4 linked regions of the Saccharomyces cerevisiae S288C genome follow. The gene in region 3 interacts genetically with the main gene of each other region. Each region holds a gene or a part of one and is shown on either strand. Other genes may lie near its edges.

Region 1 (4,187 bases), on a different chromosome or scaffold from region 3:
AAATAAAGAAGTCATTAAACGGGCATTTACCGGGTGACTGTTATCTGACCAATGAAATCTGAGGGTATGACTAATAAGCCCCCGCCCGAGTTTCGGCCAAGGGTACGGACAACGCCGAGAACCGGCGATGAGAAGAACAATAGCTTTTATCTATTTCTTATTAGAGAGGGATTATTAATCATTAATTAGTGTTTTATTTAGTAACTATGGGCTATACATAACAACCACATAAGAGGAGTCTTGGAGGAAAAAAATGGGAAAAAAAAAAATAGTAGAAAAAAAAGGGGATATCACTACTCTCTAAGTACTCTTGTGCTTGTGCATAGAAAAAGATTTCCTTTGTTCTGTAGTTGTGTGTCTTTTTTGATTGTTTTTTTTTTTTTTTTTAATTTTTTTTTGTAATTTCTTTATATGTCAGCTTTACGCTGCACAGTGTCTATAATGCTATGTCGTTATCGAGCCCTTTGAGCGTGGGGCAGGGTGAGTAATAACAATGAAATAAAAAAATGCAAATATAGAAAGAGCATGATTTCTGCTTTTCTTTTTCTTAAGCGGCGTAAGCATACTTGGATTTCTTTCTGATAGATTCACCATATTTTAAGAATAGTAAAGGCACGGGAATCATCGCAGCGGCAAATAGACCTAATAACAAACCAGCCCAACCGATACCCATGCCACGGAACATATATCCTGCAAACAATGGGAAGCATGCACCAAATGCAGACCTCATGAAAGTGTTTGCTGCGACGGCAGAAGCTGCCAACAATAGATACGATTCAATGATATAGTTTAAACATGGCAAGAAAATACCCATTAAACCGAACCCGATGAAGGCCCCTCCTACTGTGGGGACCATCCAATGAATCTTGTGAGGATAGTAGCCCGTCCAACAGAACCATAAGATACCAATAGGGAAAACGGTACCTGCAATGACCATTGCGTACAATCTGGCCTCGGGCACTAATTTCCCCTTGGCTCTACATCTTTTCAAATAATCGTTGTCCATATACCAAATGAAAGCAGCACACACCATCATACCGATAATCAAGGCGATGTATGGCAACTCACCGTTTTCAGTAAACCCATAACCCTCCACAAAGACAAGTGGGTAGGCTTCCAGTAACAAATACAAGATACCGTAGACAAAAGAGTTGTAAATAGTCACGAATAGTAGCAATGGTTCCACGAAAAGCATAATGATAGGCCTCGTCACAGTTTTTTGGACAATGTCTTTGATGGATAGCTCCACGTCTTCATGAGCAGCATGAATACCCCAGTTATTACTTTGCTTTCTCATCTGTTTGGCCTTGTTAACCAAAATGGTAGGGTGATGTGTTTCTTCAAAGAACAATACGATGGCAACGAAAACTGCGGAAGCGAAACAACCGACAACATATTCTAACCATCTCCAGGTAGTTCTTTGTGCGATATAAGAACCCATGACAGGCGATAAAATGGGGCCTACAAAAACACCTAGAGAAAATAGCGCAATGGCTTTACCTCTAACATTAGTATCAAACATGTCGGCAAACGCGGCGGGGACGACGGCCATGGGTGCTGCCCCGATAAAACCACCAAAGAATCTACATATGAAAATAGTTTGCAGGTTCTCAGCAGTAGCGACAGCAAATTGGAAAAGGGCAAATCCAAACGCAGATAAAACCAGAACACCCTTTCTACCGTACAATTCAGAAAGAGGAGCATAGATAACCGGTGAGGCCGCAAACCCAAGAACAAAAAGCGTGATACCCAAAATGGCGACAACTTCGATGACGTGGTATATCTCGCAGATTTGCGGCACTGCAGAGGCAAAAATGGAAGAACACATAGCAATGGCAATAGAATCCAGACATAAGACCAGACATAGCAGCACTTTCTTCTTCATGGGCCAGTTAAATGGATGTAGTGGGTCGTTAGGACCATCAAAAGTAACCTCGTACAGGTCTCTGCTCGGCAACGATGGAGGGTAAGGTCTGTCACCACCCATGGGCGCACAATTGGTATAATCAACCTCTACACGGTCAGGCTCGTTAACAGACCCAGTAAGGATTTTAGTTAATCTTCTCGTGATATTAACCTCTGATTCTGCAGCAGAATTCATAGTCGTCGTTCTTTGAATCGCTAAATCTGCACCACCATTGCCCTCCGTAGCAGTTGTGTATTTGGCACCTTCACCGGTGAAATCTACAGGTTCGACGCCTGTGGTTCCCGTGGTGCCCGTCGAATGCATATCGCTGGATGAGCTTCTTGACGAGTCTGATGGCAGCAGATGATTTTCCTTATTAGAAATGGGAGAATGATCCGACATTGTCTCTGTCTAGTTTTCTCTTGCTTCTTTGACTAAAAAAAAAAGTGACTGATAAAAGATCCAGAAATAAAGAGTTCCCGATATTTAGTATATGATCTCGTTGCAAGGGTGCGAAGAACCAATTTCAGATTATTGGATTTTTCTCTTCTATAGACCAAGATTATTTTTGAAAACTGGTGACTCAAGGCATACGAGCAGAAAGAAACATCAAGATCAAATGAGGTACCCTTTATATATAGAACACATTACTTGATAGTATATTCTGCACACATAAAAAAAAAAAAGAAAATGACAATGTTCAACGTTAAATTTTTCTTCCTTTTTCTTTAGGGAATTCCTACGATCGTTTCCTTTTAAAGTAAAACTCCCGATACGAAGATTTCTGTGTACCGACGGACGGAAATCTCGAATGGCTCTACTGTGAGACGGCTTCATAGCGACATAGACGGAAGGGTTTGCTTCCTTCCTTCCTTCCGCGTCCGCATCCGTTTCCGCATCCGCCTTCCGTATCCGCTTTTCGCTCGGTGCTTCTCTTTCCACGGAAAATCCTGCTCCTGCTCCATGGAACCAAAGCAACGGGGTCTGGCGGAACCTATAATCCGTTGTGACCGGGCCCGCATAAGGAATTCTCGGCTCTTAAAATAATCTATCCTGCGCAGAAAATACTGGCTGGCAAAAAAGAAATACTAAATCAGACTCCTTGTCTTTACGTTGGCTATGTAGTCCAAGCTTGGCAGTACTACTGGTGCCTGGTTATAAGATTGATTTTTGTGACTCTTGCGGAAAGGTTCGCCGAGCAGGGACCCTGGATGAAAAAATTTCTTGATGAGGCATCAGTATAAATCACTAGGGGGCTGTACATGCATGGTCGTTTAAAATCCGACTACGCACATTAACTCTTTTTGGCACTAAAAGCGCTCGGGGTTAAGTGTACCTACCCCTCTCCGGCCGTAAAAAAATGAAGGTAATGTTTTCAATTTTCACCTTTTAGTCATTATTGTTGTTATTGTTATCACTCAAATTAAATAAAAAGAAAGAAACTACTTAGAATAAATACTAACATTAATTGTATTGCGCCCCGCTCGCCTCGAAGTCATAGTGGGCTTGTTTCTCTTTTCAGCCACTTGTATGAAATACTCTGAGGCTGCAGAAAATGCACTATTGTCCTCCATACCCTTGCGTGGTACTCGTTAATCTGTGTTTTTTCTTCTTCGTTTAGTAACTTAGTATTGATCAACTTCCTGCAATAGGGAACCACAGTCATGTTTTCGAATTTCAAGAAGTTACCCTTCTCAGTGGCCTTCTTGATTAACATGTCGCTTTCAATCCTGATACCATACTCACCATCCTTATAATAACCTGGTTCGTTACTTATTATGTTACCCGCTCTTAAGGGGAAATTCATCAGATGTGGCCTAAAGCCGACACCCATGGGTCCTTCGTGAACGTTTAAAAATGATCCGATACCATGGCCTGTGCCATGTTTGTAATCTAACCCGCGGGACCATAAAAACTGCCTAGCGATGGCGTCGATATTAAACCCGGGAGTGTTTTCGGGAAAAATCAACCTCTCTAGGGCTAAGCCACCTTTAAGTACCAGTGTGTAATTATCCATTTCTTCTTTGGTTGGCTTTGTTAAGTGAATTGTTCTTGTTATATCAGTTGTACCCTCCAAGAATTGCGAACCGGAGTCGCAAAGATATATCTTGGTAGGATCAATCATCGAAGAGTTCTCTACGGGCGGCGAATAATGTATGATGGCGGCGTTACTACCTGTGGAGGATATTGTTTCGAAGGAATTGCCCATGAAGTTCCTTTGGGTTTTCCTAATCTCGGTCAATTTTTCTGCGGCACGATATTCATCTATCAGTGCCTCGCG
Region 2 (2,509 bases), on a different chromosome or scaffold from region 3:
TTGAAAGAGGAACTACTGCGAGATGGTGTATTGACGGTTACGCTAAACAAAAACCGTGAAGTGGTACAAGTTTCCAAAGCGGGTGGTTTACCAATGGATGCGTTGACGCTAATGAAATGTTGTCACGAGGCTTACAGCATTATTGAGAAAATAACTGATCAAATACTGCAGCTTTTAAAGGAGGATTCAGAAAAGAGAAACAAGTATGCAGCCATGCTTACATCTGAAAATGCCCGCGAGATCTAATATTAACGAAAAAACTGAAATAAAAGCAACGCTTATACATATACATGCATGCATTAATATATGTATATATATCGGTACGTATAGATTGTAAAATTACACTTACTACTAAAGGCAGTATGAAAGACGCCCGCAGTTTTTTTCCTACTGTTTTCTTGACTGCGGTGTTCAAAAACATAAAAATCATTAAATTACTATAAAACAAACGCATACTGCGAAGAAAAAAGGCTCGGCTATAAATGCATATGAGAAAATATTATCTTTTGCCTCCCTGCTTAATTTCTGAAGGCATGTACTATCCAAAAGAAAAATCTTGAAAGAAAACAAATCCCATTATTCTTATTATTAAAACAAAAACTTCGTCATCGTCATCACATAAAAAAGACCTACCATTGTCAAACTGTACAACAGCAACACAATAATAATGACGATGATGAGTTCCTCGAGAAACCCTAGAACGGCGTTATAACACTGTTTGAGGGTATTACTTTTTCCACTACTCTCGTGGCGCGGAAGACCTGCTTCCAAATCTACTGTGTAATCAATACACTTAACCTCCTCTCTCTCCCCTTGTGCGTCAGAAAACTCTGCCTGTCTTATTTCCTTCTCCTGTTGTCCTATTTTCAGTACATCATCGATGCACCTCGAGGTATCTTCCATCTTGGTGTCAGGTTGAAAAACAATTGCTGTCGTTTTTTTTTAGTTCAACAAGTTTGGTATGGCAGTTGACAAAAATTCTATTTGGGCTGCAATGAATCAAAGTGTACAAACATCTGGTGAAATCGTTCAAGTTTTATACTGAATAGAAAACAAAAGATAAGGTTCTGCGCATCGCAAATAATAAATTACTAGCGCGCCATACAAGAGACGAGTCTATTTTTTTCCGCCAGACGACACAAAAAAGAACCCGTGCAAATATTATATCCCACCTCCCACGTGTCAGCGAAGCTCGGAACTGCGTAACATTATAGGGCAGAACATCCAAATGGAAAAAGTAATAACACTATTTGCGATGTTAGTGGCCATCCTGCGTCGTTCGGATAGGTTAGGACGGGCTGATGAATATACGGGTGTAATAAAAATGACACCACGTTATCAGGGTTTTCATGACAGTGCAAACTAATATATGTCATATTATTTTAAGTGGGCTCATTTATTTACATGTTTATTTTTTATTGTAATTTGCGTATGTATCATTACACGCTAATGCACATTTGCACGTTCTAATAATGAAGGTCGTCCGTCATAAGCAATTAGGAAATGAGAAATCTTGATTTTATCGCTAAAAAACGCTTTCTCTTGTGGCAGGAGCAGATCTCTTACATATGTAGTTATTTAGTCGCTTCTAAGAGCCAGATCAGGTGCGTGGATTCATATAATATCCCTTTTTCAATAACAACGTTATAAGGAAACGTTGGGTAAAAGAATATTAATTACTGAGTGGAACTTTTTCTCATTGTTCTGTGTATATACAATGTTGTATCTCAAAATGAGATATGTCAGTATGACAATACGTCATCCTAAACGTTCATAAAACACATATGAAACAACCTTATAACAAAACGAACAACATGAGATAAAACACGGCCTTCCCTAGCTGAACTACCCAAACGTATAAATGCTTGAACAATCAGTTTAGATCCGAGATTCCGCGCTTCCACCACTTAGTATGATTCATATTTTATATAATACATAAGATAAGTAACATTCCGTGAATTAATCTGATAAACCGTTTTGACAACTGGTTACTTCCCTAAGACTGTTTATATCAGGATTGTCAAGACACTCCGGTATTACTCGAGCCCGTAATACAACATACAAAAGTAACTCTTATTTACAAAAAAATCTCTTACTTTGTAGCATCTAGATCATCATTCGTGGGTTCTGAGCAGTAGGAAGAATATTTCTGGTAGAAATGATAAATTTCAAAGCACAGTTCGAAAGCAATCAGGTATATAATTATCCATTCCAAAAAAGTGCTGTTTCTCTCGTTTAAAAGAGAGATGAGGGCTCGACACTCGTCCGTAGAATAGTCCAGCTTGCTGTTCAGAATATTTATTCTTGGGCCTATGTCCAAATACCTCGAAACATTTTTAAAAATCTCTTCCAATTGAGGTTCACTCCAATAAAGATCAGGGGTCTCAATTAGTTCTGAATAGAGGTTCAACTTTCCTCTAATTAGAAAAAGGCGGCCTATTGACTTTAATGCATCACTTGACCTTAGATTTAACTTTGTTCCCTTAGAAATATTTTCTGTTATTGTTCT
Region 3 (2,739 bases):
TAGAGCCACGGAGCCAACAAAAAAAGGCTTTTTAGTTTGCCGCATGTAATGATTGGCGAATAATTTTTCAAGGTTATGATTGTTCTTGGGAACACAGATCACGGAATCCTTTTGCCAATAATACATTAGATGGAATATTTGGATACAACTTTCGAATATAACGCCTTTTGAGCTAGCAATATCGACTGTATGGGAATATAAAAGTTAATTTTAGGCAATTTAATTAATCGTGACTGGTCGGAGAAGGCGAGATTGTAGCTCCACCATGTGAGGATTATTGGCAAAGGTTTAGATCCGGTGGAGATTTATCTTCTTTTACCCCATCTTACTTGTGCACTCTCCCAAATTCCCATCTGATGAACTGTTAGTTGATTCCTTTAGATTATAAAACATATGATGTTTACTCTGTTTTTTGTCGGCGAAGTACGGAAAAGCATTTGTGACTCTAAAAAAACATGGCAAGGATAATTAATTAACAATACTTCTTGTGCTGTTTATAAAATGTATTTAGTGTAACATGCTGCTTCCTAGCATATGTATAATGTTAAGAATTTTCCAGTTTCTTTAAAAAGGCATTTACGTGTATTTCTTGACGGCTGCAGAAATCTCTTGGATGTCTTTTGGACTTGTTCTGCAACAACCACCAATGATACGGGCACCGCTGCTAATGTACTGTTTAACAACCGTATCCCAACTGTTCAGCTTATCGCTATTTGGCAACCATATCTTCTTTTCAGTATCATAAACTTCACCACTGTTTGGATAAGCAAGCAAGGCCATATTTGGCAGTGCTTGATGTAGAGACTCAAGAATGTCGGGTGATTGGTTGAAGCTGACGCAGTTGATTCCTAAGAACGAGAGGTTAGGATTTATTTTGTCGCCCAAGTCCATCATCTATTTACTACGAAACGATAAATTTCCCCGTTTTCTTTTACTTTTACTTCATTTAATATAATTCATATTTATTTCCCATGTACCAATTAATTACTCCTAAAAGAACAGAAATAGAAAAAAGTTGTATATAACAAGCCAAAAAAAAAAAAGAAAAAAGGAAACACAGCTTATTTCAAATTGCAATCTGCGTATTTCGTAAGTAACGAATGATCTCACAGCATTGCTTTTTTTTTTTTTTTTTTTATATATATGTACATTACCTATGTCACATATGACCATGATGAGTACAACACTAAAAACCAAGGCCTACTATTCAATTGTTCTCTATATGATTTCCATTCTAGCAAAATCGAGTGCTACCGATCTGCCGTTTTCTTTACCTTTCGAACCATTGAGCTGTTAGCCTTCTCTTCACAGAAACTGAAGGCCATTAGAAGCCTCCCCTTCAACAATTCCCTTGTCTTTTGTTTCAGCTATATAATGCGTTTATAGCTCTAATTGTGGTCGAATAGGAAGAATTTGCGTTAACACCCGTAACTAGCTTTCCATCGGTAATAGAGTAGTCATCCCAGGGATGAATTGGCGCCAAGTACTTGGCTCTATTCTTGTTTGCAACGCGTTCAACCGTTGTCAATTTTCTGCTCCTCAAGATGTCGTCAACTCCCAGGGCGATTTCACCCTCGAGTGGGAAACCTGTTATAGCTTTGCCTTCGATTAATGGTCTTGTTGTTTTGATATCTATTAATCCATCGAAAAGGAGCGGTCCATGACAGATGGCGGCGATCACACCCCCATTGGCATATATCTTGGATGCAATATCTTGCAGATTTTTAGCTTTGGGATAGTCAAATAGAGCACCATGTCCAGCAGATGCAAAGAATATTTTATAGTCGCTGGCGTTGACTTCATTTGCGGTCTTGATCCTCGCTAACGCCTTATTGAAGGCGGAATTTTTCGTTTCAAAGTTCATCTTATCTTCGCCACCAATAAAGCTCTTTGGCAAGTAATGTTCATCCCAGCCAAATCCACCAGTCTCAGAAACGAAGTCCACTTCGAAACCATGCTTTTCGAAAGTATCGAACGACCGCAAAATCTCAACTACAAAAACGCCTGTTTTCGCACCATCTTTATAGAAGGGACCGTGGTATGAAGTAAGAGATATTAGCGCTCTTTTTGGAGTCATTGCAAGGCCAGTTTTCTTTTTGAATGAAGGAGAAAAGTGTTCTAGAAATATGTTTTAGTTCTAAGTATCGTTGTCTGGAGCAAGCAAAGAAAAGCAGACCTGTATGTGCAACTTTCTTGTTTTCCATTAAAATCTCAAGAACCGGCCCCTTGACTGTGCTCATATATCAAGTATCGGTTTTAAAGTCCCCTAATTGTGATAATTGCAAGAATGACAGTCAAAAAGATATTTTTCTTTTCTTTCTTTTTACCTATCCTTCATGAAAATACCTATGCTGATACTGAATATCTTCATTTGCAGCTATGCAATATTTCAGATACTGCATTTTACCCAAGAGTTTCTTTACTGGTGGTTGGATTTTTTTTAAGACGAGAAGATTACCAGTCCTGGATGTTCATGAATGTGCCTATTGCGTCATCAGCGACTCCGCGCCAAGAAAAGAAATACTCGCATGCTCGGATTTATAGAATCGCATAATGGAAATAGCTTCCTTAAAGGATGGAGATAAGGAAAAAATGACAAGAACAAGGAAGTACTTGGGAGCTTTCTCCGACATGTTAAATATTTGAAACTCACGCAGCTCTCCTGGAAAGTTGCATCTGGAAAGGTAAGGTTGTTTTTTGTTCAGACATCAAAATCGGCTCTTGTAGACAATGTCACAG
Region 4 (3,079 bases), on a different chromosome or scaffold from region 3:
ACCATGTGATGTCACAAGCTCGTTAGTATTCTTTGACCATACCATATTACATATTTGAGAGCCGCTATCTATATCACTCATCTTTATTGACGTATTAACGTTCCAGATTTTTAGTCTTCTATCTGCTGTACCACCACCGGTAGCTAGCACACCTCGTTTATGAGGAGACCAGGCCATTGCCTTAACAGCAGCCTTATGTTCGTCAAACGTCAAGATTGGAGATTTCGACGTTCCTTCGTAAACATGGACGACGTTATCGTTACCACCTGAGGCAAGTTTGTTGTCCGCTACATTCCACTTTAGGCCACAGACTTCCTGAGTGTGCGATTCTATAGTTTCAAAAAAGGGATCTGGCATCCTAACATCCCTATGCAGTATTCGATGATCTCTACTCCCAGACGTCAAAACATGATTATTCCAAGATAAACACGCTACTCTGTCAATATGTCCCGACAACGTCCTAATACATTTTCTTTTCATTACGTCATAAATTTCTACAAGTCCATTTGCTTGACCTACTGCCAGATGAGAGCCTGCTCCAATCCAGCTTAAGCTTGTGTATTCGTTTTCCGTGTCGCATAAGTGAACAACGTCGCCAGTGTTATTATCGGTTAAAAAAATCGATTTTCCAAGAGCAACTGCCAAAACATCAGTACTTGACCAATCTATCAAGCTGTAGTAAAAATCGTCTGCTAATGATGGGGCATCTAAAACTCTATAGGGAACTTTAGCTATTTGTCTAAATTGCTTCCCCGGTGATAATAGGAGCTGTTTGGAATCCGGCCTAACTGGCGACATGGAATCAAAAAATTGAGATTGTAACAAAGAGGCCGCAGATAGTCTTCTACCTTTACGTTGTTGATAAGTCAACAGGCTGGCGCCCCTAACTGAGTTGCTTGAGGGTCTCGTGATTTCATCTTGCTGTGATGTAAAAAGACGTCGAGGAGTGACTGGCGTGGAATGTGGCGAAAATTCCTCTAAACCAGCAGCTTCAGGAGGTGGAGTTGATACTCGTTCCAGTTCATAACCATGTCTAGTTGTATTTTCTGCGTGCACATTGCCTCTAGTAGATGGTCTCGTATTCTTAATGCGATCTATACTGCTCTCTGAGCCTACCGTATCCTTGCTTAGCATCTCGCCAAAAAGCTCATTCTTCAGCAAAGTATTATAAGTTTCATGTGCCTGTCTTTCCTTTTGGTATTCTACTTGATCTTCCGTACTCGATGGATTAAGGGCTGGAACGCTTGCCATACTACTGATGGAAACGATGGAATTGAAATCTATATCTGTTCGGGAAGGAATATACCTATCACCATATACTGTAGACGGCCTCGATCGCCTGGAGGGAGATGATAATAGTGAGGCGGACGAAGAACTAGATATTGGCCTTTTCGATACCCTCTTACTTTCAGAACCCTTGAGTGGGGAGGAGGAAGGCGTATTATTCATGAATGGGTTCAGGTTTGTGGACATGCAACTAAATTTAGGATGAAGACTAGAAGGAAGGGTGACAAAAATCGGAGTTAGAGGATGAACCAAGTTTGAGATGGCCAAGTCTAAGGTATTGTAAATCCATGAGGTTCTTCTTCATCGCAATATTAATGCTAGAAGCGGTGCAAAAAACCATTTTGTGTGGGATAAAAAAACGTCGTGGAATTAGAAACTCGTTCTTCGGGTAAGAAACCAATATCGACACAACAAGATATGGGGTGTATAGTTAAAATCTCTACTGATAGACTTTATTGGTGAGGTTGTGAACAGATTGTTGGCGCTTTCTTCCTTATCGCCTCAATCTGAAAGGATCTAGATTTGCCAATGTTATCACACTACATCTTCCTGGCATTCGTTTTATTGCCATTCAGAGTTTCCGCGTTTTACTTCTATGGTTATGGTGGAGACAGAAAATGCTTCCTGAAGGAACTATCCAAAGACACCCTTTTAAAAGGTTCTTACAATTTGGAAGTTTACGATGATAAGTTGGCAGATTATGCGCTTCCCAGTTATAATGACTATGGCATTGTCATAGATGTGGAAGAAGTCTTTGATAATAATCATAGGGTAGTCCACCAACAGGGCTCTCCTTCCGGTGACTTCAGCTTTCTAGCTTTGGAATCTGGAGAATATAAGATCTGTTTACAGTCTAGGGTAAATAACTGGGTAGGGAAAACCAAAACAAAGTTAGAAATCGAATTTGAAGTCGGTTTTGAAGCAATGTTGGACATGCAAAGAAAAGAAACCTTGGAAAGTTTGCACGGAAAAGTCAGTATATTGAATTCTAAGATCGTGGATATCAGGAGAGAGCAACAACTGATGAGAGAACGTGAAGAATCCTTTAGAGACATATCAGAGTCTGTGAATTCTCGCGCAATGTGGTGGACGGTAACTCAAGTTACTCTTCTCATTATAATTTGTGTATGGCAAATGAAAAGTTTACGCTCGTTTTTTGTTAAGCAGAAAGTATTATGACCGTACATATCAAAAAATTGAATCCTTAGCAGGCATACATGAGAATTTCGTTGTTTCAATGATTTATTTCTATTTATTTACATGCATTACCCCGACGCTTCATAGTGTAGTCATTAAATGAGTGTATACATATATATACTAACCTAGTCATCAAGATGTTTTAGGTGTTTCAATTCTTATTATTCATCTATAAAGACAGAATAAATATATACGGTGCGTATCAGATATGCTATTTCAACATACTATCTTTCGATAATCGGATCAAAAAGCTCCTAACGATTGCCATTACAAACCTTCGTCCATCCAGGCCAACGTTTTGTTAATTCCTTCTTCAATACCAACTCTTGGTGTGTAGCCTAGCAACTTTTTGGCCTTAGCAATGTTGTGATAACGGTATGCACACACAATCTTGACTCTGAATGGAGTCAAACCTGGCTCTTTACCCAGCATCTTGGATACCCATTCTGAAAGATAACCTGCACAAATTGCAACTGGCCTTTTCAAAACAATAACATGTTTATCAATATGACCATCTGCCTTCCACACAGTACGGGCCAAGGCCCAAAAATAGGTGGGGGTATCATTGGTAATGAAAAAAGTTTCACCCGAGACA

Evidence for each region.
Region 1: mutations in YMR321C (region 3) and TPO1 together harm fitness more than expected from each alone (negative genetic interaction), as found in Saccharomyces cerevisiae (one large-scale study listed by BioGRID).
Region 2: mutations in YMR321C (region 3) and PHM6 together harm fitness more than expected from each alone (negative genetic interaction), as found in Saccharomyces cerevisiae (one large-scale study listed by BioGRID).
Region 4: mutations in YMR321C (region 3) and ERP6 together harm fitness more than expected from each alone (negative genetic interaction), as found in Saccharomyces cerevisiae (one large-scale study listed by BioGRID).

Annotation. Positions count from the first base shown.
Region 1 is NC_001144.5:82,925-87,111, reverse strand, and holds TPO1 (polyamine transporter TPO1), read right to left. Parts: upstream 2,309-4,187; coding exon 548-2,308; downstream 1-547. Other genes in the region: FRA1 (aminopeptidase P), read right to left, coding at 3,402-4,187.
Region 2 is NC_001136.10:1,021,419-1,023,927, forward strand, and holds PHM6 (Phm6p), read right to left. Parts: upstream 904-2,509; coding exon 589-903; downstream 1-588. Other genes in the region: exosome non-catalytic core subunit RRP45, read left to right, coding at 1-246; MRX10 (Mrx10p), read right to left, coding at 2,093-2,509.
Region 3 is NC_001145.3:917,003-919,741, forward strand, and holds YMR321C (uncharacterized protein), read right to left. Parts: upstream 895-2,739; coding exon 577-894; downstream 1-576. Other genes in the region: YMR320W (uncharacterized protein), read left to right, coding at 1-49; SNO4 (glutathione-independent methylglyoxalase family protein), read right to left, coding at 1,364-2,077.
Region 4 is NC_001139.9:492,702-495,780, forward strand, and holds ERP6 (Erp6p), read left to right. Parts: upstream 1-1,815; coding exon 1,816-2,466; downstream 2,467-3,079. Other genes in the region: CDH1 (Cdh1p), read right to left, coding at 1-1,473; ERG26 (sterol-4-alpha-carboxylate 3-dehydrogenase (decarboxylating)), read right to left, coding at 2,752-3,079.